Saccharomyces cerevisiae S288C: one gene and its partners. The gene in region 2 interacts genetically with the main gene of each other region. Each region holds a gene or a part of one and is shown on either strand. Other genes may lie near its edges. The genes, in order: PCK1, MNR2, DDI3 and EMA35.

Region 1 (7,915 bases), 310 kb from region 2:
ATAACAATGACAATAACAATAATAACAACGACGACAACAACAACAACAATAACAGCAACAGCCGTGATAATAACAATAATAGTGATGATAGTAATGAAAGGGAAGAAAATGATTCCTGCAAGCCAGCAAGTAATAAGAGATCGGGCATTGCTCTAATACAAAAATTACAAGAATTGTACAAAGTGATAGTTAAGCAAGAAATTGAATTGCAGGAGCGGTGCTCACAACTAACAAACTCTCAAACCACCGAACTAAAAAGCTTGTGGACTATCTATAAAATCAATACAGATCTTGTTAACAATTATGTCACTTTTATCACTACAGCTTTACTACCATCCCAACCGCCTCACGATTTGGTCATCGGCCAAGAAATTGTCGAAATATATAGGATCGAAAGAAGGCTATGGGTTTACGGCACGATAACATTTCTAGACGTTCTAAAGAACTTTTCTAACTTCATGGATCCTGAAGTTTGCTGCCAATTTATCACTCACGTCTTTGTTTCATTATCAACTATGATTTCTGACATACCGTCCAAATATTCTATCACTTGGTTACAAAGACTAGGAGACTTATCAAGAATGGCTATAGCACTATATCCCTCGAGTTTTATCGATTGGAAACTGAGTGCTGAGCATTGGTATACTGAGGCGATGAAATACATATACAATCATGGAAAGCTATATTATCATATGTCTACCGTACAGCAAAACACTCTTGAAGCTTTTGTAAATTTGGGGAAAAGCGTCTTTTGTCAGGAAACATTCACTCCGTCTCCGCAATATATGCAATTGGTTATTGATAACATTTATCAAAGAGCCTTTGTAGAAAGAAATAATGGCAATCTTAGAAACTCTTTATTAATTGAGTATTTGAAACATAGTGAAGCCATGCTATTACCCAGTTTTTTAGAAAGTCCAGATTTACAAAATGTCGTGTTGAGCTATTTCATTGAAAAGTTCGGTATAGATGCAAACGGTTGTAACATTTTTAACGCAGAAGATATGTTTGTTCAGAATCCTGATTTTTTCAAGTATTTCTTCAGGCATGGCCCCTCTTTTGCACAATCGCATATTTTACAAATTGTTGGATTTGGAGAGCCAAAAAACCCATTTGCAATTTTATTTGAATTGCCGAAGTATTTGAAGGAGAGGAAAGACAAGAAGGAACGTAAAAAATCTTCAAATAATGACTCCTCCGTGACGGAAAGTTCAACGGGCAATAGCCGAAATGACAACGAAGATGACGATGAAATAATGAGTTCTACCACTTCCATATCTGATCACGATCTCTTAGCAGAATTCTTCAATGACATCGATACCTTAAGGCGTCCGATACTGCCTTCAATGCTAACAAACGAAGCATGGTTGGAAACATTAAAGTTTCTAAATATGACCTCATTAAAATGCGGTATAATAGTGCTTCGGAAGTTTCTACATGGGCCTTTAGGTATCGCATTACCCCATATCTTACCATGGATATACTTTATCATCTCAATTTGTTTGAAAAGCAGCCAATTGAGTGATCCAGTTAGTAAAGAATTCTGGATGATTATTGTTAAGAGAGCTTTTCCATGGGATACAATGGTTACCTTTATGAATGTTTTGATTGTGTATTTATTGGATAACCAAACATCGAACTCTATTATTGGAGATTTATGCGATGACTACGATAAATTAAGCCTTTCTGAACTTTTAGAATTATTCAATGAAGGCGAAGAATTACCAGAAATTTTGGGCTGTTGGGGAACATTGTGGTTTGACACAATTTGCGAAAAGAATACGCATTCGATTAGTAGTGAAGATAATTTTCAAGAAATCGGTATAAAAGATTATATGGCATTGGATTCGCCGACAGATGGAATTATATTTGATGAAAAGGACGAAAATGGTGAAAAATTCTGGAAAAGGGCATGCAGAACCATATTTCTTTTTAGAGAGCTGTCAAGAAGTTTTCCAATAGGCGTAATAATCAGAAACGATCCGTTGATATATCGTTCATCATTTCAAAATACTAATATATTGGGAAGTTTAGTCTTCAAACTCGAACCCTTGTGCAATATACACAACAATATACCAGTATTAGGTGCCCTGGAAAGTATTATTGACATATCTGAGGCAAGAAGTGAAAACAACACTGATCTGCACGCTGTGCCGGAACTAAGTGTCAACGAGGGCGATAATATCTTCCACTATGTTGGCTACAAGAAACTTCGTGCCGATTATACGTGCTTCGATAAAAATGGAGAATTTTTAAGCGCCTCGCTTTACACTACATGGTATGTCCCGAACAGCAACAACACTAACATAGAGGACAACATCAATTATAACAGCGAAAAGGAAAATGAAGGTCTATTTCTGGAATGTATAAAATCTGATTATCCAGAAATAGATTTTAAAACTACATACTTTGTCTTTGATGCAACTTCTTGGCTAAGACATTCCGCACGCATATTCAAGCTAGCTCAAAACAGACTGCTAAGATTTGCCATTTGTTTAACCACATTCCAAGAGCTGAGATTTTTACGAAAGTCAAAGGACGAAAACGTCATGGAGGCTGCCACAAGAGGTATAATAACTATAAGGCAGCTTTACTATGAGAATAAAGTATTACCCCTAAGATTCACAGGTAATGTAGCGACACACATCGAAGAGAACTTAGAATTTGAAGAACAAATAACATGGAGGACACATGTCGACGAGTTTGTCATCGAATCCGTAATGAAGGCGCAAGAAAAACTAGAGAGTGCCAGCGAACCGCGTCTTTCCCCTCGCCGCTTTAACTACGTAGTTCTGATATCTGACGACGACGCCATGAAGAAAAAAGCAGAAGAAAAAGAAATAAAAACGCTAAGCACACGATTTGTGTTTTCTTTGTGCACAAAACTTGGCGAACAGCGCCATCTGTGTACAGACTGATCGTTCGTTGTACGTACATTTACAACAACACCAATTCTACTCACCGCCATAAATAACACTTTAATTTTAATATATACTTTTATATGCATATAACCAACTGACTTCCATACAATTCTGACCAGAGCACTTGGGCAGAGCCCCCACCCAGGGCCTTGTCGGAAAAAATCGGAATATCCCACACGATCCACCGGAGAATATCGGGACGCTGACGGGTGAATGGAGATCTGGATTTCCTAATTTGGATACATCTCTTTTCTTTTTTTGACTCACAATAGGAAAAAACCGAGCTTCCTTTCATCCGGCGCGGCTGTGTTCTACATATCACTGAAGCTCCGGGTATTTTAAGTTATACAAGGGAAAGATGCCGGCTAGACTAGCAAGTTTTAGGCTGCTTAACATTATGGATAGGCGGATAAAGGGCCCAAACAGGATTGTAAAGCTTAGACGCTTCTGGTTGGACAATGGTACGTTTGTGTATTAAGTAAGGCTTGGCTGGGGATAGCAACATTGGGCAGAGTATAGAAGACCACAAAAAAAAGGTATATAAGGGCAGAGAAGTCTTTGTAATGTGTGTAACTTCTCTTCCATGTGTAATCAGTATTTCTACTTACTTCTTAAATATACAGAAGTAAGACAGATAACCAACAGCCTTTCCCAGATATACATATATATCTTTATTTCAGCTTAAACAATAATTATATTTGTTTAACTCAAAAATAAAAAAAAAAAACCAAACTCACGCAACTAATTATTCCATAATAAAATAACAACATGTCCCCTTCTAAAATGAATGCTACAGTAGGATCTACTTCCGAAGTTGAACAAAAAATCAGACAAGAATTGGCTCTTAGTGACGAAGTCACCACCATCAGACGCAATGCTCCAGCTGCCGTTTTGTATGAAGATGGTCTAAAAGAAAATAAAACTGTCATTTCATCAAGCGGTGCATTGATCGCTTATTCCGGTGTTAAAACCGGAAGATCTCCAAAGGACAAACGTATTGTTGAAGAACCTACCTCGAAAGACGAAATTTGGTGGGGTCCGGTCAATAAACCATGTTCTGAAAGAACATGGTCTATCAACCGTGAAAGAGCTGCAGATTACTTGAGAACAAGAGACCACATTTATATTGTCGATGCATTTGCAGGATGGGATCCAAAATACAGAATCAAAGTCCGCGTTGTTTGTGCCAGGGCTTACCACGCTTTATTCATGACAAATATGCTTATTAGACCTACAGAAGAAGAATTAGCCCATTTTGGAGAACCTGATTTTACTGTCTGGAACGCTGGTCAGTTCCCAGCCAATTTACACACCCAGGATATGTCTTCAAAGAGTACTATAGAAATTAACTTCAAAGCAATGGAAATGATCATTTTAGGTACCGAATACGCCGGTGAAATGAAAAAAGGTATTTTCACAGTTATGTTTTACTTGATGCCTGTGCACCATAACGTTTTAACTTTGCACTCTTCCGCCAACCAGGGTATTCAAAACGGTGACGTTACTTTATTCTTTGGCCTAAGTGGTACCGGGAAAACCACTTTATCCGCAGACCCACATAGATTGTTGATCGGCGATGATGAACATTGTTGGTCCGACCATGGTGTCTTCAATATCGAAGGTGGTTGTTACGCCAAGTGTATTAATTTATCTGCCGAAAAGGAGCCTGAAATTTTCGACGCTATCAAGTTTGGTTCTGTATTAGAAAACGTTATCTATGACGAGAAGTCGCATGTAGTCGACTATGACGACTCTTCTATTACTGAAAATACTAGATGTGCCTACCCAATTGACTACATTCCAAGTGCCAAGATTCCATGTTTGGCGGACTCTCATCCAAAGAACATTATCCTGCTAACTTGTGATGCTTCGGGTGTTTTACCACCAGTATCTAAATTGACTCCTGAACAAGTCATGTACCATTTCATCTCTGGTTACACTTCTAAAATGGCTGGTACTGAGCAAGGTGTCACTGAACCTGAACCAACATTTTCATCTTGTTTCGGACAACCCTTCCTAGCCTTGCACCCTATTAGATACGCAACCATGTTAGCTACAAAGATGTCTCAACATAAAGCTAATGCGTACTTAATCAACACCGGCTGGACTGGTTCTTCCTACGTATCTGGTGGTAAACGTTGCCCATTGAAGTACACAAGGGCCATTCTGGATTCTATTCATGATGGTTCGTTAGCCAATGAAACGTACGAAACTTTACCGATTTTCAATCTTCAAGTACCTACCAAGGTTAACGGTGTTCCAGCTGAGCTTTTGAATCCTGCTAAAAACTGGTCTCAAGGTGAATCCAAATACAGAGGTGCAGTTACCAACTTGGCCAACTTGTTTGTTCAAAATTTCAAGATTTATCAAGACAGAGCCACACCAGATGTATTAGCCGCTGGTCCTCAATTCGAGTAAACGAAACATGTTCGTTCGATATGTTCAATCCAAAAAAAAAAAAAAGAATTAGAATTATTTCGACATCATAAATGTTCGTAATATATTATTTTGTCAATTTTTTCTCTTCCCATTTCAGCTTTTTTTTAATAACTGAAACTGGATCAACAAGCACATGTTTTTCTAATTAATCTTTCAAACATATTTATGTATATACATAAGGAAAATTCAAAAATCCGATGCAATTAACAGAATTCTTCTTCATAGTTCTCTTCATCCATTCTTTCGTAGAATAAGACGTATACCTCATCGCTAGACATTTCTGTTTTGCCGGCTTCAAAGTTGTTGCGATCCTTGCGATGTTGCTGTATATAATCGTCATCAAATGTAACCCAAACTTGTCTATTCAGTCCAATTTCATGGCTCTTTTCTTTGTTCACAACAGAAGTATAGTGTCCATTGATAAGGTTACCGGAATGATTCACCGTTCCATATAACTTGTATCGAATCACTTTACCGTTCTTTAAAATAATGTTCAATATCAAAGGGTAGGTTATTACAGTGCTGTTTTTTTTTGTTAAATCATAATAGAACCTTGATAAATGAATGACAAGTATCGGAGGTAAAACTATAAAGTCTAAACTCTTAATCGTGGTTAACTTTTTAGAATTTCGCTTCTTTGCATTTTTTGTTGAATCATCGCTGCTATGGTGATGATGGTGATGATGGTGGGGTGATTTTGACCTTGATCTGGAATGAAAACCGAATATGGTTGATTTTTTCTTCTGGCTAGTAATTTCTTCTTTTTTGGATTTAGAATCAGTAATTCTACAATTAGGACAATCCCAAGCATTGTCGCCTGACAGTTCTTCATCGCCTGTAAATAAGTTTATGCAATCCTCTAATTTAATTTTTCTCGACTTACTTGTAAAGCTATACAATGATAGTTTTGGAATCGCAAGTGACAGAACATAGAAGGTAGAATAGCTATAAGAAGAATTACCACAGCGCTGACATTTCAAAATGTTCTCCAACTGCCCTCGATATATGTGATCAATTGGAGATAAACCATCAGTAATAACATTTCTCTCGTACCATTTCTCGTATTTGGATGGGTTAACTTGTAAAGCATTCGCATCATATGACACTAGATCTGGATAATACTTGACAACATTTTCGTTCGAGAGCTCTTCATGTATTCGTGCTAAAACTATTAGTAGAAATTCCTGTGTATCCTGTTGATCATCTGGGATGTTCAAATCTGGCCTTAACTTCTTGCACATTTTTAAGAATCTATTTGGTATAATCGCTCTTCCTCCATTCAAATACATTTTTTTGAACAAAACGTAAATCGAGCGGGAAAGTTGGACTTCTTTCGGATATTTGTTAGTATTGAGGAATAGCCTATATTTCTTGGTTAAAAACAAATCCCGAAATAAGGTAGTGCCAAACAGACATTGAATTATACTGTTAATATAGCATGTATTGCATGGATTTTGCAGGCCAGTAATAGATAACTCTGATAACAGATCATTAGAATCTTCAATTACTGGTAGATTGTAAGCTTTCGGGGCCGAAGATTCTATGGCCTCGATCTTTCCTTCTTCCTCCTTTGGCTTTTCCACCTTGGATAAAGAGGATGAAGAATCTTGGCTAGAATCTCTGATTTGTGACGAAACCTCCAAGGAGTGCACGGGGGGAGCAGTTGCTGGACTAGACAGCGTTTTGAATAATGCATCCTTTCCAGTACTGAGTTTTAAATACGAGGGTTTTGATAATGCTTCTTTGCTTGTGTAGTACGCCACTTCAGAACCAGCTTCCAATTTATTACTTGATGCTATCTGATTACTTTCCCTGACTATGTCCTCTTTCGAATTATCATTTGTTGGTTTTGTTAGCTCATTCGGTATTTCATGTAGTGAGCCATCAAACTTGTTATGTATTGACAAAGAGGCCATATGAACAGGTAAAGGCCGTAGCGGTAAGGAGTAGGCTCTTTTTCTTTTTATGGTCCTGCAAATTCCGTTTGACTCCGCTAAATACCGGTCAACAATAACAGTACTTTCATCTCTTACCACTTTTAACACATAACCCATCACGTGTTCGTCTTGATAGTCGTTTTTTAGCTTTGCGTAACTGCTGTAGAGATTATTTCTTGTTTGGAATTGTAACGATTGTGGAATAATAAGGTACAGATAATAACAACCAATAATAAATGCTGTCAAAGCTTCCATTTCCTGATTGATTTCTAAATCCCTCAGGTAAACATTAAACAGATGAGCAGCATGGTCTAACAATCCTCTTAAGTTCTTTAGCCGTAATTGCGAATAAAACTGTTTAATATCTACTTCATATACTTTTCGAACTAGGTTTAGAATTTGATCTGGGTTTAATAACATTGTCTTTATGACTTCCGATTTAGCGAAAAGAAAACGGAAAGTAAGATCAATGCCACGGTTATTTAGTTTACTGAAGATCCTGAAAGACTACTAGCAGTAGCAGTAACCTTTCAGAGCTTATAATCAACCTAATGATTACTCAGCGCACAATCTAAAAGGGTTTCTCAACTAATTCTCGAAGAAATGTCAATCCCTTTT
Region 2 (9,439 bases):
AATTCGTCATTTAAAGCTTGAGGGGTGGCTACTGAACTATATATCTTATCACCACCATTTTTCTTACCATTAGCATTACTGCTTTGTTTCTCACCGTCATTCACGAACTGTGCGTTATTGGAATTTTTCCACTTCCAGTTGGTAGCTAAACTGGCGGTATCCTTTAAATTCATTAAACTATTATTAGCAGTCGTATTAGTTGTCGCTGTTAAAATTGGAGTATTAGTGGCGTCCGTTCTATGCGGAGAATCCATTGAGAATTGACCAAAGGTATATTCCGGCGAAGATATGCTATTGTTCGCAGAATTGTCATTAGAAGAAGTAGCAGAAACGTTGGTTGTGCTCAATACCGGGTCCATCAATCCGTTTGGCTCGTTCATTATAGACGAATCTTCTTGTTTCTTGTTTGCGTGACGAACGAAACTACTATTAGGTCCGAAGACTAGCATTATATTGTTTTTAATAAGAAGAAAAGAAAAAAAAGCCGAACTGATAAAGGCGTTAAATATTCAAAAAGGAAATTTCACGTTTTAATTCTTTTCTCTATAAATGTTAATTCTCTGGAAATAAAACGGAAAGAGACGGAAAAATTCTTAAGCCTGTTGACCAGTTGCGAAAAACACATCACAGAACTGCAGTTGCTTGTTATATACAAATTTAGACAGAAATAAGATGCATAAAAATAAAATTTAAGTACCTACAGGTATGCTCATGCATCTAAGGGAAACATGTGTAGCATCAAGAGGGTAGAAAGGCCCGCAAGCGGAATCCCAGAAATAGCCATAATACTTTTGATAGATAAGAGACCTTTGTTAAACGCTCTTAAAAGGGTGGGTTTGGTTTATCCGGAGAATAGCAATGCGCAAACCTTATTGCTCAAGAGTCCTAGTTCTAGCTCGGGTTTTCAGGTTCTAAAAATGACCAGTACGCCGCCAGCAGTGAAACCTCGTGGGAGAAAGCCGGTTCCTGCAGCCTGACATTTGCGCTGGGTTTTCACGGCACCATGCCTAGCAGCCCTGGCCACTGTCATCGCTACCAACCGCTTCGTACAACAGTACCCACCAGCAGCCGGCTGCTGGCCCCACATAGAAATTGTTACGGATCCGTCCCCGCGCTCGTACTTTACAGCCAACCCCACCTTTTTCCCTTTTTCTTGGTGTGCGGTTGCCGTTCCTTCGAGGAACGGATCTTCGGGCTTTTTTTGCCGCGCTCAAAATGCCCCGGAGCGGCACTTTCTATGTATGTTTTTTTCTTTCATTTTATTATTTCCTAGTGCTGGCAAAATGATTGCTTGGAGCTCACAATACCTGTGAGGAGACCCCTTCCCCTTTTCTTTTCCCCTCCCCTGATTTCGGAAAATCAAAAAAATCGTTACGCTTGACAATTATTCCTTTTTGAGCGATTATTTTTCAAATTTCACAACTTCTTTGCCTTCAGAGGTCCTGGGTGCCTTACATCGTAGCATTTATGTTGCATCTTTTATCGAAAACATAGCTCTTTACGCGCTAAGGAAAGAAGTTGACAGCAGCTGGGTACACTAGGCAAGGTAGACGTTTTTATCAACTGTCTGTAGATAGATTCACTGCATCCTTATACTGCAAGAGATGAAAATTTTGAAAACCCTTCATCTTTTGCGGCTTTAAGCTTTCAATGAAATGTATGTTAAACAGTGCTTATCTCCTGTTTTTACGCGCAATAACGCCAGCGGCCTTGTTTTCCTCTCTTCTCCGTTTAGCGTTAGCCATTCGTTCAAATGAACGCTAAAAACATAAGGGCTACCCTTAAAAACTCCGCTATGAAGGCAAAAAATATAAACAGGGTAAGCACCTATATGTAATTTGGCACGACGTGAGCAATTTCATGTTGTGCAGCGGGATAGCAAGCTGTGCAGCGGGATAGCAAGCTGTGCAGTATTCTAACAAAAAAAAACACGAAGAAAAAGAAAAGAATAGCGAATTTCTCAGTGACAGTCTTCCAATCTTTCAGAAAGGCAAAAAAAGTGATTTCGTCATTAACATTAAGAGTTAGCACTTTACCAGAGTGCTATTGCCTTCCAACATACGTTCCTCCCCTCCAAAGTAGTAGTACTATATAGATAAAGCTAGGGTATTCTGAGCAAATATAAATCAAACTAAAGTGATTCATAATTATAGAAAATATGCAGGGCGATATCAGAAGGAAAAAAGATCTTTTACCTCGTTATAAAACAGGAAGCAAATATAATTCCAGAAGAAGGGGCGGTTATCTGACTACCCCTATGAAAAAGATTATAGTATACATTATACTGTTATGTGGCGTTTATTTCGTTATAAAAGTTGCCTATTCTGATCTGAATAAAGAAACTGAGATCAAGCTAGAAAGCCATTCTTCTGATGTTTCTGCAAGTGCAAGCGATCATACCAATATTGCAGCCGGCGGTGCAGCTGATGCGACTAACAATAAGCAACCACAACAAGCTAAAGTACCTAAAGAAAAGTTCAATAATGAAGTCGCAAAGCAACAAGAAGTAAAGAATTTGGAGAACGATTTGAAACCACAAATTGATTCAGAAAAGCAAAAACAAATAAACAAGGACAAAAAAGAACAAAAACAGCAACTCCAGAAAGAGAAACAAGATCTCGCCAAGGAAAATTTGGCTAACAATGAAATCCTTGATAATTAACCAATTCAAAACTTCCAACAGTTTGGTGATGAAAATAATAAATGTTTTACGTTAACCTTATTGATTAACCTCACCTCCCTTATTCTTTGTATAGTATAAGTGCATACTAACATACTGTGTACGTACATAAAGATATGCAGAACGTTCACAAACATGTAGAAACCAGACACGAAAAAAAAAAAAAAAAAAAACATAAATAGATTAAAGATATTTATCACCACAAGTATACGATACGGCGCTGATAATTTACAATTCTATCCTTCGGGAAAGACAACAATAATTTAGGCTGATAATTAAAATCGAAGGAAAAGCAAGCGCTAATGCGCGAAAAAACACTTAAATTAAAACCCGAATCTTCTCTTAGTATACATATATGCAGAACATGCTAGCATACACATAAAAAGCACAATGCCTATAAACCATGTCAACGAATCCCTGTATTGTCCGGGCACGATAACATTCATACCCCACAGACCCGTAATCACATTCATTGGCAGAACAATAGTACCCAGTATGGTAATTTTTCCCAAAACGTCGTTCATGTCATTATTAACCTTCGTCATATCAATGTTGATTTGTGCCAGATAATTTGAATGCGATCTACTTAACAGTTTTTCATAATGGTTTAGCGATGAGACCATGGTTACAATATGATCTTGAATATCACCCAAATACATTGCGATTTCAGATTGTGGCGAAGCTTCCCATTGCTCATTATACCTTTTGGCAAATCCTTTTATCACATCAGCCTTGGATCCTAGCAATCTTAGTATACTCATCACTCTTTTACGGCATTCACCAATCCGCCTCAACATATCTCCTTTTCTCTTCCAACCTATCAAATTTGCATTGAATGACGCTTCAGAAGTGCTCATACTTCTTGAACTCACACTAGATTTTGCACTAGAGTAGGACGTCTTTTTAGAATAGACATCGAACGGAAATGCATCCTCATCGCTAGCGCCCGAATCGGAATCACTATCGCTAGAATCGCTATCACTAGAATCATCTGACTGATGCATCTTCAAAATGGCGTCCTCAATCTCATAAACTTCATCTTCGATAAGTTCTATCATAGGGGCAAATGCGTCTGTAATGTCATCGATTAAGGCATACGCAATCCAATCAGAGGTAACATTAAGGTAATCCTTTAGTAGTCTTGCTCTTCTTCGAACATTAATAGGATGTGGTGTGGGAGCAAAATGAAACGTCAATACACCAGTTCTGAAAACAATAATGTAAACATTCAATGGCTCTAATTCTCCCTCACGTGGTTTGTGCCTGTCTCCTGATTTTCTTTTGAATTTTTCGTTCTCTTCCATCTTTTTCTTTTCGCTTTTGACACGGCGTTTATAGCTTGATGATGATGTATTGGTTGTTCTATTTGCAGATGACCGACGGCGTGCACGTAAAATCGATGGAAGCCATTTGCTCCTACTTGCATTGCTTGTACTGTTATTGTTATTTGCATTTGATTCATTTGACATAGTAGCACCATAGGCTTGTGATTTACGACGTGAAATACTTTCATGATCCAAGGTAGCAGATTCTTGCTTTTCTTTTCTCCTCCGACGAACATGCTTTTCTGCTACAATATCGAAACTTCTAAAACAAATCAGGTAATAATCTCTAAATAGTTCCACTTTCTCACGAACTTCTCCCAAAAAAATATCTTCTGTAGTTAAAGGGTGAATTCCGAAAGCTTTACTTAATATTTTCATCTCCTCTTCAGTAGGATTGCTGACATCCAACCAGAATGGAGGAACATCCTCTATATTTGCCACAGACATAGACGATAAAGTGGAAGGGTTTTTAGCTGTCAATCCCTGGAGTTGAGATACAGTTTCTGCTTTTATACCAGGTGTTGGAGAATTTGGATGTGTCTTGATATGACCAGCGCTATTATCTTGGGAGTATATAGAAGCGACAAATAAATCTTGAAATTTTTGACCAGGTTGCAGTAAACCAGATATTGTCGGAGAATGAACAGTAGAGTCCAAATCCACCCTAAAATAAGTGAACCTGAAATGTTCTGGGTTATTAGAAATAATATGCGGAGGATATTGAATATTTCTGCCGACTAGTAAGTTATCTTGTAATCCGCTTTGAATTCTTGATTTTGAGTCCTTGGTTGAATTGGACCCAAGGACCATTGGACGTTGAATCAAATGCCATGGCGCAATTCTTTTTGGCCTTAAACGGCCGTTCTTCAAATTCTCTGTTTCGTTTACCCTTCTGTTTCCCAATTCAGGGACATCAATATTAGTTACGATTGGCTTTGAAAAAAGAATTCCATCTTCATTTGATGTTCCATCTTCCTCATCTTCATCGTATTGGAAGTGGAAAGCTTCAGCATCTTGAATAGCTTGACTTCTTAGTCTCTCTGTTTCTTCCTTGGAAAATTCTTCCAAAACAGTACAATCAGGCCAAGCTTTTGGCACTTCGCTACCCTCATCATCAAGCACTAAACAAACGTCATCCAAAGAAGAGTTATTTGAAGAAAGACTAGAAGATGGCCTTGAGTTATACTCATCCTCTTCATCGTTTGAATCACTGGATGTGGATTTGGAATTTTTGTTGCTACTATCATCAGAACCCCTCTTTTTCTTTCTTCTCTTGCTGTTATCATTAACCCCAGTACTTGCATTGTTGTTAACATGGTTCATTAACGCATCAACATCAATCACGACATCATTATTCGCGTTCGATTGTCTCCTATCGGTGGGGGAGTTTTCGTCAACAAAACTCTTATGAACAGATTTCCTTCTCTTCAGCCATGATTCAAGCTCTGAAGGGGATAAGTCCGATACTAATGATCTATTCTGATCAGAGGGTCTTAACCCTGCGGGTTTCTTGTAACTTGGTGTTGAAAACTTCATTATTGGCTGTGGTTGAACTGTGCTTGATACACTTTGAGGCCCCTCCCTAGGTTGGCTCATTGAAGGTCTATGATCAATGAACGCGCCCTTGAGCGATGGATCCTCACTTTTTATTATATCATTACTTGTAGAATCAGATTCATGCAGCATGCCCCAGGAATCGATCTGGTCGAAATCAGTAATCTGGCCGTGATTGTGTTGCAGATTATCATGCAGCAGTTGCGTTGGCCTACGTGAGTCTGACTTCAAGTGACCAACAAACTTGTCCTTTCTTCTTTTTTGATTGCGCTTCTTTTTCCTTAGTTGAGGGCTACTAGAGTAAGGGGAAAGCAAAGGAACACCTTCATCCTTTTGTGAGTTATCAGTGCTCATTTTTAATCTTTTTCTTCTCTACACTTCTCACTTTTATTCTCTCAATTTACTGTCGAAGTAAGGGGATAAACTCAGTGTAGCAATACGTACAACTTAGTCATCAAATGAAAAAATGCGGACTACCAAACCAGAAAATGATGAATAGTTATACAAGTATACGATAGTACAAAAATATATTTAAAGGGCCAGGTACTACTAACGACAACCTGGGCTAGGTTTCACATATCAAAAAGAAGTTATGGCTTATGTGCTCTTTCTAAGTTTGACTTTATGCCAAAAATTTCTCCGTAGATCGCCGCCCGTTGAAGCAGCAGAATATTTTAAGTGCGCCATAAAAACCTAGATAGAAAAGAAGGGAGAGAACATAAACGCAGAACACCACTACTTTTAAGGCGTACGCAAACTGTTGGGCTTATCTATATTGTACTATCTACCTACTTGCAACGTCTTTTACCTCCTCGATACGTACTGCTTATGCCCTGAACAATTTACATGTAACCCGCAGCTGCATGCTATATCACAGGATACGTTAACATAAAGGGGGCGCTACTAAACCCTCTGGCGCAGTGCAAAAATAGAAATATATGCCAAGTGGGACCTTGTATAGTTTCTGGTTTAAAGCTATTCGTTCATTGCAACGCTCCTTTCTGCTATCCTTTCGCAAAGTGGCAAGTACTGAAAACCGAGAAGAATAAATAATATTGCGATGAGTTTATACTTTACGACATTATTTTTATTGCTCACTGTTGAGATGGTAATGCTCTTCATCTTCGTTTTGCCTTTGCCATTCCGGATCCGTAGGGGTATTTTTAGCACCTATAACCAATTGACAGCGAAGCAGCAAATAAAAACTATAATCTTTATAACGGGTTGTCTTGTTGGCCTGTTGTTTATTGATTCATGGAAAAGGTCTCAAATTCGTGTTTCATTATACCACAACGACAACAGTGGCTCAATCGGGTCATCTGCTGTAACTCCAATACAGGCACTAGCATCAAGAGCGTACAATCAAAGAAATATGTATATTTCCGGGTTCATATTGTACTTTTCTATCTGTATCCCAACTGTCATGTCTATTGTCAAGAGACTGGTGAAATACCAAGGCTTAATCAACGAACAAGAAAAGCAAAAATTGAACAAACCTTCCTCAAACAGCAAGAAAGACTCAAATGAAGCTGATTCCACCAAACTTCAAGAGGAACTAAGGAAAAAGCAAATTTCTCTGGAGGGCCTACAAAAGCAAGTCAAAAACCTGGAGAAATATTTTGATGAGAAGAATCAACCTGGAAATGTAGCAGCTGCTGAAGCTTCCAAGAAAGGAAACTAAATAGATATATTTATGTATAAATGTATATACGTGTTACCTCTGGTGCTCATACTTCTCTGGTCGCGACGCAATACGAAAATGCTACTGAAATAAAAAGCAAGCGATTAGATCAAATGAATATATGCATTATATGTTACCAACTTTATTTTTTTTGAATATAGACGAAAAAACGTTAGAGAAAGACATAAAAAAAAAAGATTGAGCTTCGTGACTCGGTTTACCATTCTGTGTTATATACGAAAACCCTTATATAACAACTTTTTAAATTTTTTTCTCATTTTGGTATATCTTTTTAATTTCACTATGTTTGCTATCGTTCTTATAAAACAAATAAAGTAGAACTGGAATCATAACACCCACAGAACCGACCATTAGTCTAGATGTTTGTTTCTTAGGATTAGACCCTATCACAGGCTCAAAATCCTTTGAGGATACATATCTCCTACTTGTCCGTTGTAATAATTTCAAAATATTAGATCTCATCATTTAAAAATGTAAGCTTTTTTTTACTTGAGTTTTTGTTGTCAGAGTTAGGTCCAAAGTCCCTAGAATAGTGTACGCGATAAAACTCAGCTGCAAGTCTAATATATACATTCCGCCAGAAATTTCAATTTGGGATCCCTGCATATTGCCAAATTTATTGGAGAAACTGTTAAACCTAAAAGAACGGTAGTAGCTCTATCAACTTAAGGGTTGGGCACCCTTAAATGTTTCATTCAATAGGGAGATCCATTTCAAGTTGCCTATTTACTTGTACCCCTACATAGTCCAAGGGCGATGAACTACCTATAATAATGCCGGTAGGCATGCTTCCGGATATTACAAGACTATTCGCTGAAACCGTATGAACATCGTACGTTCCGCGATTGTAATAGACCTTTGCCAACTTGTATTTTTCGATGATACTATAAAGTTCGGAAAGAAGAAGGAAGTGTGGCAATTTCACTGGGAGCCAAAAGCATTTGACATCAGGCGTCATTGAAGCGTCATTAAGTATTATAAATTCGTATATAAGGGTAGCAACATAAGTGGTATTTTTTTTATATAATCGTGCTCCTTCTAAAAAATTCATTATATTATTAGCTAGTGAGGGAACATGATATGAGCTGCCCAAAGCGAGAAAAAAAAGGCGCTCATATGTACCCTCCCATGCCATAAGTTATTCATTCATAAATCCACTTAGCTTGATTAGATTCCCAATCAACTAACTCTTCCTTCTTAAACCACAAATTGATTTCACGTTCAGCGCTATCAACAGAATCACTGCCGTGACAGACGTTTCTGCCTAGGTCAATACCGAAATCACCTCTAATGGTACCTGGTGCACTGCCCAAAGGATTAGTAGCACCAAGAATAGTTCTTCCTTGTCTAACCACATCTTTTCCCTCCCAGACCGTGGCCAAAATGGGACCAGACTTCATAAAGGATACCATCTTTGGGAAAAATGGTTTACCAACATGCTCTGCGTAATGTTGCTCTAGTAATTTATCATCCGCTTTAACTAATTTAATAGCAACTAGTTTGTAACCTTTTTTTTCAAAACGAGATAGAATTTGAGATACTAAGCCCCTCTGGACACCATCTGGTTTTACCGCAATAAAAGTTCTTTCTGTTTGACTAGACATTTTTCCAGGGATGATTTATGAGATGTTTTTCCGGAAAGAACCTGATAACTTGATAAAGTATTCTATAGATAACCTATTTCAAAATAAGAAAACGATATGAGCTAACGAAGTACTAAGTCTTTCACTTTATATAATCGGCTCTCCGAATTAAAGTACTTTTAAGGAGGAAAACTGGTCTTCATTTTCGAAGACACGAAACGAAGCGAATTACGCGCCTTTTTATTTGATGGACTTGCTCGCCAGCCCAATGGATACGAACAAAAATTAATTCAAAAAATAGGAAAAAATGAAGACTCAGTGGATTCTGATGTAATTGTTGGGATTCCATTGTGATTAAGGCTATAATATTAGGTATGTAGATATACTAGAAGTTCTCCTCAAGGATTTAGGAATCCATAAAAGGGAATCTGTAATTCTACACAATTCTATAAATATTATTATCATCGTTTTATATGTTAACATTCATTGATCCTATTACATTATCAATCCTTGCGTTTCAGCTTCCACTAATTTAGATGACTATTTCTCATCATTTGCGCCAGCTTCTAACACCGTATATGATAATATACTAGCA
Region 3 (6,938 bases), on a different chromosome or scaffold from region 2:
AATGGCACCTTGAAGTTATGCTTCTCAATGTGATGTGTCCAATCAGCTGGAGTCAAAACCTCACTTTCGTCAATGTAGTCTACTTGCAGCTCTTCCAGGATCTGTGCCTCCACGAAGTGTCCAATACGGACCTTTGCCATCACCGGAATTGAAACAGCTTCCATAATTTCTTTGATCATGCGAGGATCTGACATACGGCATACTTGGCCAGACTTGCGCATGTCAGCTGGAATGCGTTCCAATGCCATTACAGCACAAGCGCCCGCTCTTTCTGCGATAATAGCCTGTTCAGGTGTGACGACGTCCATAATCACACCGCCCTTTAACATTTGGGCAAGCCCAGTTTTAACCTTGAATTCTGACATTTTTGTCTTTTTTACGATATACTTATTTTTCTATTATAGTTCCTTTCCCAGAAGGGTCGAATAATAATGTGACTATGGTGGAGAAACATACTAGTTTTATATATGTGTGTGTGTGTGTGTGAAATTCATTCCACATGAACAAATAATTCTGCTCTTTCCTTGCCACAACATTTTGCCATTCAAACGATATAATGTGCCTACTACTGTTATGCCATTGGGCGGCGCGTCACTTTATTGGAAACTGTAAGAATAGTTGAGCCATCTTTCATCATTCAGCTACAAAAAAAAAAAAAAGTTATTCATTGATAAAAGCCCATTTTTTTCTGTTTGAGTAGCAAGCACACTTACCATGACCCTGGTTGCTGGGGCCAAGACAAGAGTAATATCTCAAAAATGACCGTCGTTATCGGAGTCTTGGCATTACAGGGTGCGTTCATTGAACATGTGCGACACGTAGAAAAATGCATCGTCGAAAACAGGGATTTCTATGAAAAAAAACTATCTGTGATGACAGTGAAGGATAAAAATCAACTAGCTCAATGTGATGCATTGATCATACCTGGGGGAGAGTCGACTGCAATGTCCCTTATTGCAGAAAGAACAGGATTTTACGACGATCTCTACGCATTCGTACACAACCCAAGCAAGGTAACCTGGGGTACTTGTGCAGGTTTGATTTATATTTCACAACAATTATCTAACGAAGCAAAACTGGTCAAGACGCTGAATTTACTAAAGGTTAAAGTAAAAAGAAATGCATTTGGGAGACAAGCTCAGTCTTCTACCCGGATTTGCGACTTTTCAAACTTTATTCCTCACTGCAATGATTTTCCTGCTACTTTTATAAGAGCCCCAGTAATAGAAGAGGTGCTGGATCCTGAACATGTGCAGGTCCTGTACAAATTAGATGGGAAGGATAATGGTGGTCAAGAACTAATTGTTGCCGCTAAGCAAAAAAACAATATTCTTGCGACATCATTTCATCCGGAATTGGCAGAAAACGATATACGGTTTCACGACTGGTTCATCAGAGAATTTGTTCTTAAAAACTACAGTAAATAAAAGGGACGTATAGTATAGTTATGGAGAAAGGAGATCATCACTGTTCATTCTGAACTCGCCTCATTGAAACTTACCTATTTAGTTATACCCAAATGTATTGCATATGACTTTCTTTGAAAAATCATCACCCAAAGAACTGGTGTGGCCCCACGGTTTTCTCGAGTTTTCAGTGTCCACCACCGTAGCAAAACATGATAACCAGTGCAGTCTTGGAAATTGCTCGTTAATGGCACTAACTGTATCGATATGAATCAGATCGGTATTGGATCCGACATTGTCAAGCGTAGTAGCAATCTGCAGAATGAGCCCCAAGGTGGTAATGTAGCCAGTCCCAGTCAAATCCTGGTGACGAATGATGGCCTCAGTTACTGCATCTGCATAGTCCTGATTTCCACCTGTCGCATTAAATACAAGCTCCCTTGAAAGTATGCCACCATAATACTCAAATGACATCTTCGTGGCTCTCATATTCTTATCTGTTGTTGCAATATCATGAAGTAAGCAGGTGACGTACAAAACTTCCTGATCCAAGTCCCATGCTGGAAATTGGTCTCTTATGATAGCTACACTATATTGAAAAACACGCAAAGAGTGGTTTAGAACGGGGGCAGTCAATTCTTTAGCGGCATATTCCCGAACAAGCCTAGCAGTTTCACTGTTTGGAGGCGGAACAACGGCCCGTGGTCTAGGTGCATTCACCACTGGAATGGCCTTTTCTACCTCTCTAGGAACTCTTACAAATCCGTACTGTGACATGATTGATTCTTTTGAAGAGAAGCAAGGCAAAAAACAGTACGAAGCAACTTCATGTTAACAGAAGAAGAAGGAAACTAACCCATTTATATATAATTTTATGAGGGGACCGATCCTAAAAAGTTATTTGTAAAGCTCGTACAAGATTGATTGATGACTTCCCGACAAACTATTGTGCGGTGGAGTATTTTGTATTATAGAAATGATAGTGTCCATGCACTTTAATAAGATCTTTTTTGCGGACATTTGTTTCGGGGCCGTCCAAAGTTGTTTGATGGTATAACTCCGCATATTTGACATCTTTCTCTTTTAAACCAGTATCAGTTAGTCTTTTGCAATTTTCTTGAGGGATTCAGTCTAGAAAGTTGATTTTCATTGCTGTTAAGATAAAAATTCCTTCTAACCCAGCTTGTACTCCGTATACTTTCAATGCTCTCAAAAAGATATGGATACTAGTTAGTTTAGACCCTGTAGTTTCACCAGCTGCTAGTATTCAACGTTCATGCGACTTCTATAAAGGAGTGCTTGGCTTTGATGTTACAACATTCGGGAACTATCGCAGGGCTCTGTCTTTTTTTGGAGTCAGAAAAATCAATTTGCATGAGGTGGGAAAGGAATTTGAGCCCAAGGCACAGAAGCCAACTCTCGGATCTGTCGATCTGTGTTTTATCTTAGAGGATCCTTTGAATAACAGTTACCCATCTTGAAAGCTTGGATTTTCCAATTGAAGAGGGCACTGTAATCCGTACAGGCGCAGTCAACCCTATTATCAGTATACATCCGTGATTAAGATGAAAGTGTGATGGAAATATCAAATAGAATAAAAGAAACGGAATAGAGCTATTTTTTTTTTATATTATAGACATAGTCTAAGCGAGTTTAACCTTTGAAATATAAAAAAAAAAAACAAAAGGAAAAAAGTAGTATGTGGGCTGCACTAAACTAAAACCGTGAGGTATTTAGATATATATTCTACATTGTTTTACGTTATAGCATGTATAAACATACAAATACATACTGTGAGATGATTGTGGTATGACACAGTGTGTAATAGAGGAAGTGAAGAATGCCAAGAGCAGTTTTTTTATCTATTTTCTGCGAATTTTCTTATGTCGGAAGTTATTCTCGGATAATATGCGGCTGCGCTAAAAATAGTTTATCGCATGCGTAAATCAGGGACCAATTTATAATGCTATAATGGACGTCGCAGTGCAGGAACTACTTGATTTTTTTTTTTTTTTTTAATTTTTTTCTTTCTATAGCTAGTCACACAGCCATTACCACCCAAAATTAAACTGTTTTATGTATGTTTAGTCACCAAATTATCAAAAGAGCATGATTTTTCTCCTGAGCACTTCAAAATGAAATTTGAAATCTTACCAAGCCCTCAATATAAACCAATATTTCAAGAAAGCTAGAGACATTGCAAATATTTTGCTCATTCAAACATATAGCTAAGGCAAAGGGATACTAAAACTCAGCAACTTGATGAAAGTTCGAAAATAACTGGCAGTGTATCTATAAAAGCTTCACTGTGGGAATGCAGTGTCCATCCAGTATTCAGCACAGGTTTTCCTAAGCCTTCTGTACATCCCTTCATTTAACAGTAAATGTGGAAAACAAGAAGGGTAATTGTGAAAGAGTCCGATTGTAGTTGATGAACAGTAAAATCACTTATTATTTAAGGATTCCGCTGCGGTATGCGTTTTCTACTGATGCGTGGAGCAAGCCACGCCATGTGATTAACCTTGCTTGATAAAAACACCAACCCATCGTTCAGAATATGCATGGAATACAGCATCTCTAGGAGGAGAAAGACAATAAGTTTTGCGCATATGGTAGGATGATAGCACACTGATTTCTGTCAACCAGTGAGAAATAGGGAAAAAGAGAATGGTTGTAATCGTAAAAAGTAGTCTCGTTTTGGTTATTCGCAGCTGACAAACTACAAAATATATAAATTGAAAAAGTTGTATTTATCTTTACGCTAAGGACTCCTCACTGCAGGATAATTGCGCTTCTTTAATATATGGCCATAGTTCCACATTCAATGATAGAGCCCGCATAGATTTCTTCGCAGATAGAACGCGGTAGAAGAAGTGGCTAAAAAACCATTCACAGTCAATCCCGTCAAAGAAAAACTCTTCATTCTTCCAGACTTTTTTCTCAAACAAGTACCTATTCATTTTCCTTGCAATTTCGTCCCATCCATTCGCACCACTTTCTTGCTCATTTATAATAGTCGACAAGAACTGCATCTTGTGTTCCATGCTCATAATCAAAACCCTTATATTTTGGAAACCTTGTACCAACATGAAAAGAATCCACCCGAGATACAAGGTGCGTAATAGAAGGCACATTCCCCGTGACACATATATGCAGCACAAAAAATTAAGGAATGGTATCAACATAAAAATATTGGAAATCCTCTTTAAAAACCAAGTAAGCTTAAATCGGTAAGCTTCCTTGGGAAGTTTAGCATCTTCCAGGCCAACAGGGCTCCATGATTTCTCAGAATTAAACAACTTCCATTGTTTTTCAACTTCTCTAAAATAAACTCCCAATGCTTCTTCAATGTAAGGGACGGAATCCTTAAATGACTTAACCTTGGCAGCTTCGTCTTTTTTCAAAGAGAAGGGTTCGAGAAGGGTTGTTCTGAACGCTTCTTGGCAGCCCATGGCATTGAAGAAAAAGTACCTAATATTCCAAGCCTTATTTTCATATAAGTACGAATTTAGATTTGCTGCAACAACTTCCCAATCATGAGGATCCGAACTTGGTGTGCTTTTAGTAATCTCTTTGCAAAACTGAGTGAGTTGTTTCGATAAGGAACGTTTACGAGAAAGTCTAAAAATAACAAGAACAAATACTGGTCCCCAAAACAGGACAAGAAGTGAAACCATAAGCGGGTAAATCCAATTGTTGGAAAGCTTCCACCAGACGCTAAGTGGTAGCCATAATAGCATCCAGATGCGAAACGCTAAGGACTTGTAAATTTCATAACAAAACCAGGTAAAGCTGCTTCTGAAAAGATCTTGAGGTAGAACAATCTTTTGAGATTCGAGCTGTTTGAAAGATAATACATCTACACTTTTCTCATTTTTAAGTTCATTTTCTTTCATTTTCGGTAATGAGATGGCAGTTCGAGGGGTTTTTTATTCGAGATAGTAACTTCTGGCTTTTCGCTTTTATAGAGTAGAAAAAAAAGCCGCCGAGGCGCGCGCGTTCATGCAATGGCTCAGTAACCTCGTGATAGAAAAAGGGCAACAATGTTGGGCTATTTTAGGCACAGAAACTCTACTATTCGAAAAGGGAGTCCATTTCATTTCCGGTTTTCTATCTAAGTTACTCGATAATCGTAATAATACTTTTACAAAGCTTTGTATGAGGGTACATCACGGTGTGCCGTAACTTTGGTTTACATTTAAGGTGCGACCAGCAATGTCACTGTTCGCACAGCAGTTGTTACCCAAAATGAAACGTATATTTTAAGCGTAGATTGCCTGTGACAAAAATGTGTAAATATCTAATAGAAAATAGACGTAGCTGTCACAAATATTTACACAGGAAAGAGTCTGTCCTACGAGTATCTTACATGAAGATTCATAGAACCAATTTATTTCCCTATATTGATAACCTTTCAATACCATTTTTTCTCCTTATGTTTGATGTCACTGTAAAAAGGCTCAAAGCAAAACTTAGAGGTACGGTGGTGCTAAGATCATGCATGACCTCTGGGTAATTACTACTTCTCCCGCTTGCTTTGAGATTCTGTATATAAATGTTTCAAACAAAAGGATAGAGCACGGATGGGAGGCCTTATAGTAAAAATTATTCGTTTTAATCATGCGTCAGTGTGCGATTCTATGACAATAGTATGAGAAGATAGGGTGAAGTAAAAGCGTCTGTATGACTATAGAGTACAGTTATATTACAATATATGGAATAGAGCATAGTGGTATGACGGTATTAAGGAACATTTAAGTTAATGACCTCATGGTGGTATTGATACGCAATTGAGTGTGTTTATGTATTATTGTTGAAGGATAGAATATTTTTATGTTTAGGTGATTTTAGTGGTGATTTTTTTGTAATATTGGCATAAGTGTATATAAATTGAGTGGTTAGTATACGGTGAAAAAGAGGTATAACGTATGTATTAAGGGCATTTATACAATATTTGGGGCCGCGGAATAAGATATAAATATTAAAATGTGGATAATAGTGGGAGTTATGCGTAAATGGCACAGGGTATAGACCGCTGAGGCAAGTGCCGTGCATAATGATGTGGGTGCATTTGTACTCATGAAGTGAGAGATGGGCCATGGAGTGGAATGTGAAAGTAGGGTAAGTTGAGATAGTATATACTATTGTAGCATCCGTGTGCGTATGCCGTATCAGTATACAAGTGATGGTGAGTATGACAGATGGGGCATGGTAGGGTATTGGCAGGGTAAGTATGTGTGCATTGTTTACGATCATTTGTTAACGTTTCAATATGGAGGGTAGAACAACAGTACAGTGAGTAGGACATGGTGGATGGTAGGGTAATGGCAGGGTAAGTGGCAGTGAGGTTGGATATGGGTAATTGGAGGGTAACTGTTATGGTGGATTTGTGGGTTGGTGGTGGGGAGGCAGGGTAACGAGTGGGGAGGCAGGGTAATGGAGGGTAAGTTGAGAGACAGGATGGAAGGGTTGGATTAGGGTAGGGTTGAGGTAGTATTAGGGTGTGGGTGTGGTGTGTGGGTGTGGGTGTGG
Region 4 (7,214 bases), on a different chromosome or scaffold from region 2:
CCTTCAGATGATGAGAACACATCGAATCCCAGAGAGTAATATCACCAAGAATAAAGCAACCATGATAGACAATATTACTAAGTGTTCCTCAACAGATATTGAGAAAAGTTCTTATAAAGCGGGCAGGCTTTTTTCTATTTTTTTCTTTTTCTTTATCTAGCTTAAGATCCTTCTAACCATATTCTATAAAATGGCAAGCTGAATACAGATTATCAACGACAATTACATATAACCTACAAACAGGCAAGTTGCAATTCCAGAAACCATGAAGGCTGTCGTCATTGAAGACGGTAAAGCGGTTGTCAAAGAGGGCGTTCCCATTCCTGAATTGGAAGAAGGATTCGTATTGATTAAGACACTCGCTGTTGCTGGTAACCCGACTGATTGGGCACACATTGACTACAAGGTCGGGCCTCAAGGATCTATTCTGGGATGTGACGCTGCCGGCCAAATTGTCAAATTGGGCCCAGCCGTCGATCCTAAAGACTTTTCTATTGGTGATTATATTTATGGGTTCATTCACGGATCTTCCGTAAGGTTTCCTTCCAATGGTGCTTTTGCTGAATATTCTGCTATTTCAACTGTGGTTGCCTACAAATCACCCAATGAACTCAAATTTTTGGGTGAAGATGTTCTACCTGCCGGCCCTGTCAGGTCTTTGGAAGGGGCAGCCACTATCCCAGTGTCACTGACCACAGCTGGCTTGGTGTTGACCTATAACTTGGGCTTGAACCTGAAGTGGGAGCCATCAACCCCACAAAGAAACGGCCCCATCTTATTATGGGGCGGTGCAACTGCAGTAGGTCAGTCGCTCATCCAATTAGCCAATAAATTGAATGGCTTCACCAAGATCATTGTTGTGGCTTCTCGGAAACACGAAAAACTGTTGAAAGAATATGGTGCTGATCAACTATTTGATTACCATGATATTGACGTGGTAGAACAAATTAAACACAAGTACAACAATATCTCGTATTTAGTCGACTGTGTCGCGAATCAAAATACGCTTCAACAAGTGTACAAATGTGCGGCCGATAAACAGGATGCTACCGTTGTCGAATTAACTAATTTGACAGAAGAAAACGTCAAAAAGGAGAATAGGAGGCAAAATGTCACTATTGACAGAACAAGACTGTATTCAATAGGCGGCCATGAAGTACCATTTGGTGGCATTACTTTCCCTGCTGACCCAGAAGCCAGGAGAGCTGCCACCGAATTCGTCAAGTTCATCAATCCAAAGATTAGTGATGGGCAAATTCACCATATTCCAGCAAGGGTCTATAAGAACGGGCTTTACGATGTTCCTCGTATCCTGGAAGACATTAAAATCGGTAAGAACTCTGGTGAAAAACTAGTTGCCGTATTAAACTAGATGACGAACAGATATTATTTTTCTTTTGTATACACAGTTATTACGTATGTTAGAGTGACTTGGTTTTTTTTTTTTTAATGAAATTGTTTGTTATTGATCACGCCTTGTAGGGGAAACAGATGAGAACAGTGAAAATCATAACTCATTATGTGATTTGTTGTGCGTCACCCTTCCATGATTATATATCCTTACTATCTACTATCCAACTACTACATATCTATTGAACTCATATGTACCAAGCACATAAAATTATGCACCTATTTCCATTGGCAAAGACTTGGCGAAATTTAATACACTGTAATAATATCCGGCGAAGCTCTTTAAGAATTCTTACCTATAATAGCGGCTCGCTGTCCGAACGATTGCGCCGCACTTTTCTGCCTCTTACATTCCCTTTTCCTAAGGCGATAAGCAGGCTGAATGGAAACTACGATATAACGCAGTAGAGGTCCCCCAAGAGCTGGAAAGAAAATATTGGTTTGATAGCCAGCACTATTCTATCCAGTGGGCTCTTGTACCATTTTCTGTGGTATGGCTTTGATTCAACTGCATACGTAGTTAACGCGATCAGCCGCACATGGGCATTATCATTTTCAGGGGTACTGGTAAACCCTATTGTTTAGAAAGAATACCTGGTAAGCGGGTCTGTCGAGTCTTTCCCACTAATTTTGAAGAAAAAATCTTTACCTAGTTTGAGAATAATCGTGGCGTTCGTAACATCACGAGGTGAGAGAGACCAGTTAGGTAAGGGTATGCCAATAAAAGGTTATTGATACTTCAACGAATCTTCATATTAAAAGTGCCTTCACCAGAATAAAATTCTAACGTCATCCTAAAAAGCATCAATTGGACATAGTGAGGGAAAGTTTTCACCATTTAAAATCTATTCTGCAGAATACCATTCTAGACTATGATCCCTTAAAGATTCCCATTCTTTAAATATACAAATCAGGTTCAACAGCGTATCTTTATGGTATTATCGTACTACTGGCGACATTAGCAAATCCAAGTATCCTAACTAGGTTTCTAGTCTTATCTCTTGGTTTTCTCCATTAGATGGTAAACACGTTACCTTGATGGCTGTACAGGAAGTGAACATGGTCAACTCAAAGTCACCGGACTCAAAATAATTGCAATTACCTAGACTGGATATTTTTAGAATATTATGAGAATATTTTTAGAATACTTGCAACCCAAAATATATTTAAATGCCGCCAATTTGCAACCAAAAGATTATCCGCTACCTTTTTTTTAGTCATTGAATTGTAGCATAAAGTTCCGAGCTTTGAAAAAAAACTTTGAACTAAGAAAAGGTAAGAGATCCTCAATTATGATATTACTTCATGCCATATATACTCTTTGGGTAATTATACTACTTCCGCTACTCAATGCAGAGAAATTTGTCCCAAAAGTAACGGAGGCTCCTATAGAAACATCATTTAATCTAGTGAGTTTTGATGATTCCAACACTTCTATCAGATTAGATGGTTGGGGGGTTGTATGGATAAGTTTCGACGCTGGAGAAAATTGGGAAACGGTCAAAGAAATTGAAGAGCGCATTTTCAGATTTACTGTTGATCCTTTCCATGGACAGGAAAGAGGTTTCGCTTTTATATGTGAATCACCCAAATTCTACATTACCGACGACCGTGGGGAGTCATGGAGGGCTTTAACTATACCCTCATCAGAAGAATATTTAGATGGCGACTGTTTTATAACTACTCATCCTAGAAACAAAGAACTTCTTATTGCGAATTGCTATAGCTATATGATAGACGCAGACGTTTTATATGACCCAAGTGAAATTTACTTGAGCAATGATGGGAATCCTTTTTTAAAATTAAACCTTCCTTGGAAAAGAAAAAAGACGACGATATAACAACTTAAAGCTGTCATTTCATTAAGTCTAGCAAGGATTCTGACTTTACTGGTAATGATACTTCGATACTCTGTTTGTTCTCTAACCGTGAATACGATGAAGAATATCGCTTAACTGCTACCTACACACAGTTGGCTTTCAGTAGTGATGGAGGCAAAACGTTTAAAGATTTTGATGAATTTAAAGATAAGATTGTTACTCAATACAAGATATTGAAGTCATATGTGGTCGTTTTAACGCAAGATGACGGGCATAACGAGATGTCATCTACGGACATCTGGATATCCAATGATGCATCTACTTTTCAAAAGGCACAGCTGCCTACTCAATTACGGCACGTCAAAGTGATTAAAATTCGTGAAGATTCTATCGGAAGGATCATCCTTCTTATATCGACAGAAATCACAAATGAGGAAAATGCTGATCCAGATCTCTCAGAGATTTTCATATCAGATTCGCAAGGGTTGAAATTCTCACCTGTTGAATGGACACCAAACCATCAGTTTGGAAATTTTAGGCTCACTTTTCCTGATTTCTTGAAAGGGACAATATTTGGATCGTTTCATCCTTCCATTGACTATTCTAATCACCAAGTAAACTATACTGAAAATATAGCCGGAGGAGAAACCAAAATATCCGTTGATAACGGCCTCACATGGTCAAATTTGAAAGTTGTTGATGAAGAAAATGCCGATTCGTTCGGCTGTGATATCACTAGGCCTGAGAGATGTTCACTTCAGGGTTATTTTTACAATCTAAAACTTTCAAATCCTTCTGCTGGGATCATATTAATGACAGGTTCTGTTGGCGATGACAATGAATTCGATCGGAAGGACCGAAAAACTTTCATTTCTAGAGACGGTGGTCTAACATGGAGGGTGGCCCATAATTCTTCTGGATTATATGCTACTGGTGATCTGGGAAATATTATTGTATATATCCCGTCTCCTTCATATAAAGATGGTGATGTACAATCCAAACTTTATTTTTCCTTGGACCAAGGTAGAACATGGAATCAATATGAGCTTGTTGACGCTTTATTTTATATCCATCCATTAGAGTTGATTAATACAACGCCAGATGGATCAGGCTCAAAATTTATTTTAAGCGGACATCTCATTACTACGGCTAGTCAAGAAGGAAACAACACCAACATCTCATATATTGCAAGAAGTGTCCTGTATGCGATCGATTTTTCTGCTGCATTTTGACTATAAAACGTGTGAAGAGGAAGATTTCGAAGACTGGAATTTGGCAGATGGGAAATGCCTTAATGGCGCCAAATACATGTATAAAAGGAGGAAACAGGACGCCCGTTGTTTGGTAAAAAGGACATTCAAAGATATGATTTTGCATGAAATACCTTGTGACAGTTGTACTGAATCCGACTACGAATGCTCTTCTGAATTTGTTAGAGATGCAAAGGGTGACTGTATACCAGATTATGATCAGATTGCCCTTTCCGATATATGTGACAAAGCTAATGGCGAAACTGTATCATTAGAGCCATTACAATTAATTAAAGGAGATAAATGCAAAAAGCCCATGGAAATTGAGGCCATGAACATTCCATGTGAAAAAATCCTGAGGGAGAGCTCGAATGGTAAGAAAATAGCAACCATTGAAAACAAGTTTGACTTTGAAATTTAATTTTATCAATATTTCGATACAGTTTTGGGTGAATCTTTTATCATGCTTAAGTCAATAGAAGATGCCTACATACCTCACGATATGATGAATAAACAGTAAAAATGTTCGACACTGACGACAAAAAATTGACACTATTCGGGACTGATGTCATATAGAAACATAAGGTCTTACTATTTCGTTAATTTATTATTGTGATATGTATTTACAGTGTAATATGAAGTTGTGTTTAAACTATATTTTAATTCCAGGGTTTATTTGTTTGGCTCTATGAGTAACATTTTCTCAACTCAAGACAGAGGATGCTTTTCTATGATGGCTAAATTGCCTGAAACCAGACAACTAGGCATGCCACCAGATTTTGGTGATGAAAAATTGTGAATCAACCTTAAATCCAGAACATAATAGTATACCTTACCAAAGATGGTGGCGGAACGTTTACATAAATGCTTGGTAATGCAGTTCATTCTGGGTTAGCGGGCTCATTTTTCAAAAATCCGTCAAATGGGGATATTTGCTGTATGCTAAGTAAAGGAAAAGTTTTCGCCATCAGACGACTTATATGAAAACGCCAACGAATTATCCAGTTTCACGAGTCAAGGCGGTAATTTTGAAATCGAACAAGAAGATGCTCACACGCCTGAACGAAACACATGTCACAGATAACCAAGACTGTCTCTAGCAACATTCCAGACGCATTGCGAGCTCGAAGTTCCGCTCAAAAGGTTGATTGGCAGCAGCACGCATCGAAGACAAGTGGGTAATCTTTTTTACGCATAATAAATGGCTGTGTCTATTTTTTATTAAGAGAAGTAAGCATAAGGATTTTCTCAATATTGTCCATTATCCGAGGCCTCCATTACCTTTGTATGAATATAATCGCCATGAATATAATCGCCATTGTAGTTCGCCAAGTGCCGCCTTTCTTTTCTTCTATCCTCTTATCTTCCGCTTATTGGCACAGGAAACGTAAAAATTAATAATCACCAGTTCCAGTCATTTTGAGTTATAATCGTTTACCCTCCCGACAAAGATAGTAGCTCGATTCAAGAACATGAATTTTACTAATATTCGTACTTTTTTAGTTTCTGCTACTATTAATCGGTTTTGAATCCTGTCTTCATTTTGTGAGGACAAAATTTAGTAGGTGTGTAAAGTGGTATTTAAGATTCGAGTCTGGGTGCACTAAACAATGATAGACTGATCAGTACATCTTCAATTTACTATATATAGATTTTTATTAGTATTTGTTTGCAACAATTCAACGGTTAGTGTATGTAGACTATTGAATATAACGAAGATAAACAAAAAGAAGGGGAGCGAAAAAGAATTGTCAACAAATGTTTATCGATATCTGCGATAAGGTTCTGCAAACAAATGCCGCTTACGAAAAGAATACAAAAATAAGAGAATACAAGGTTATCAGCCGTCGAAAAGCACATGCTATCGTGTCATCATTTCGTGAACTATACTTCTAATGGTGTCTGCACCACAAATACCATATACACATTAGAGCATGACGATGAGTACTTACTTTTCTTGACTGTACAGCCACAGATGTTGCAGTGCGTTTCAAAAGTTCCAGCCCCACGTTTTGCCAAGATAAATTAAAAAAAGAACGTGCATATGAATATGACAGTATTGAGCATAGTCTTTTTGACAGTATCCCCTAAATGCCAGAGTGTCCGCATGATTAATACTTTTCGCGGCGCACGTGCATGACGGTAAAGAAAGCAGAGAATCAAAAGAAGCAGCACGTAGTAATAGCGGCGTAGAATGTTGTACCCAACAGCAATGATGTTAGAATAATAGGGGTTATATGATTGGATCCTACGGTCTTCCGCGTTGCCGTTTGGTGCCACATTTATCTTCATATTCATGAATTTCCTTACTGGACCCCCACCTTAGCATGGATTGATTATATAGGCATATGGGCATTCCGTCCACTGTATCGTAGGATTATTTTCCAACATTAGTTAACTTAGTTCTCTGGTTAACCTAGTTTTTCAATCTGGCTATCTTAATTCTTTGATGAGGGACATCTGCTGGAAGACATCCAGAATGTGTCTGGATGAAGTAGGAAACTCGTGAATATATAAACCCCGATGAATGTAGTTGTAGCAGATGTTCGTTACAGTATTTATTATCTGTTTCTTGTGACTAGTCAACCAGCCGCAGACGTGAGTTGATCTTTTTGCTTATAATCAAAAAAATAGAATAGGATAAAAAATGGAAGACAAAGATATCACATCGGTAAATGAGAAGGAAGTGAACGAGAACACTAATCCTAGAATAATAAAATATGATGCCGAGAGG

What was found.
Region 1: mutations in MNR2 (region 2) and PCK1 together harm fitness more than expected from each alone (negative genetic interaction), as found in Saccharomyces cerevisiae (one large-scale study listed by BioGRID).
Region 3: mutations in MNR2 (region 2) and DDI3 together harm fitness more than expected from each alone (negative genetic interaction), as found in Saccharomyces cerevisiae (one large-scale study listed by BioGRID).
Region 4: mutations in MNR2 (region 2) and EMA35 together harm fitness more than expected from each alone (negative genetic interaction), as found in Saccharomyces cerevisiae (one large-scale study listed by BioGRID).

Annotation. Positions count from the first base shown.
Region 1 is NC_001143.9:627,463-635,377, forward strand, and holds PCK1 (phosphoenolpyruvate carboxykinase PCK1), read left to right. Parts: upstream 1-3,689; coding exon 3,690-5,339; downstream 5,340-7,915. Other genes in the region: ESL2 (Esl2p), read left to right, coding at 1-2,918; ubiquitin-specific protease UBP11, read right to left, coding at 5,564-7,717.
Region 2 is NC_001143.9:314,238-323,676, reverse strand, and holds MNR2 (putative Mg(2+) transporter MNR2), read right to left. Parts: upstream 5,914-9,439; coding exon 3,004-5,913; downstream 1-3,003. Other genes in the region: stress-responsive transcriptional activator MSN4, read right to left, coding at 1-449; YKL063C (uncharacterized protein), read left to right, coding at 2,159-2,662; YET1 (Yet1p), read left to right, coding at 6,620-7,240; DPC7 (Dpc7p), read right to left, coding at 7,502-7,723; YNK1 (nucleoside diphosphate kinase), read right to left, coding at 8,404-8,865.
Region 3 is NC_001138.5:4,790-11,727, reverse strand, and holds DDI3 (cyanamide hydratase), read right to left. Parts: upstream 2,184-6,938; coding exon 1,506-2,183; downstream 1-1,505. Other genes in the region: pyridoxine biosynthesis protein SNZ3, read right to left, coding at 1-365; SNO3 (putative pyridoxal 5'-phosphate synthase), read left to right, coding at 759-1,427; COS4 (Cos4p), read right to left, coding at 4,163-5,302. UniProt on the Saccharomyces cerevisiae protein: Cyanamide hydratase involved in the detoxification and/or utilization of cyanamide, a toxic nitrile compound distributed widely in the environment.
Region 4 is NC_001135.5:298,519-305,732, reverse strand, and holds EMA35 (Ema35p), read left to right. Parts: upstream 1-3,511; coding exon 3,512-4,462; downstream 4,463-7,214. Other genes in the region: YCR102C (uncharacterized protein), read left to right, coding at 266-1,372; YCR101C (uncharacterized protein), read left to right, coding at 2,703-3,251; YCR099C (uncharacterized protein), read left to right, coding at 4,434-4,901; GIT1 (Git1p), read left to right, coding at 7,128-7,214.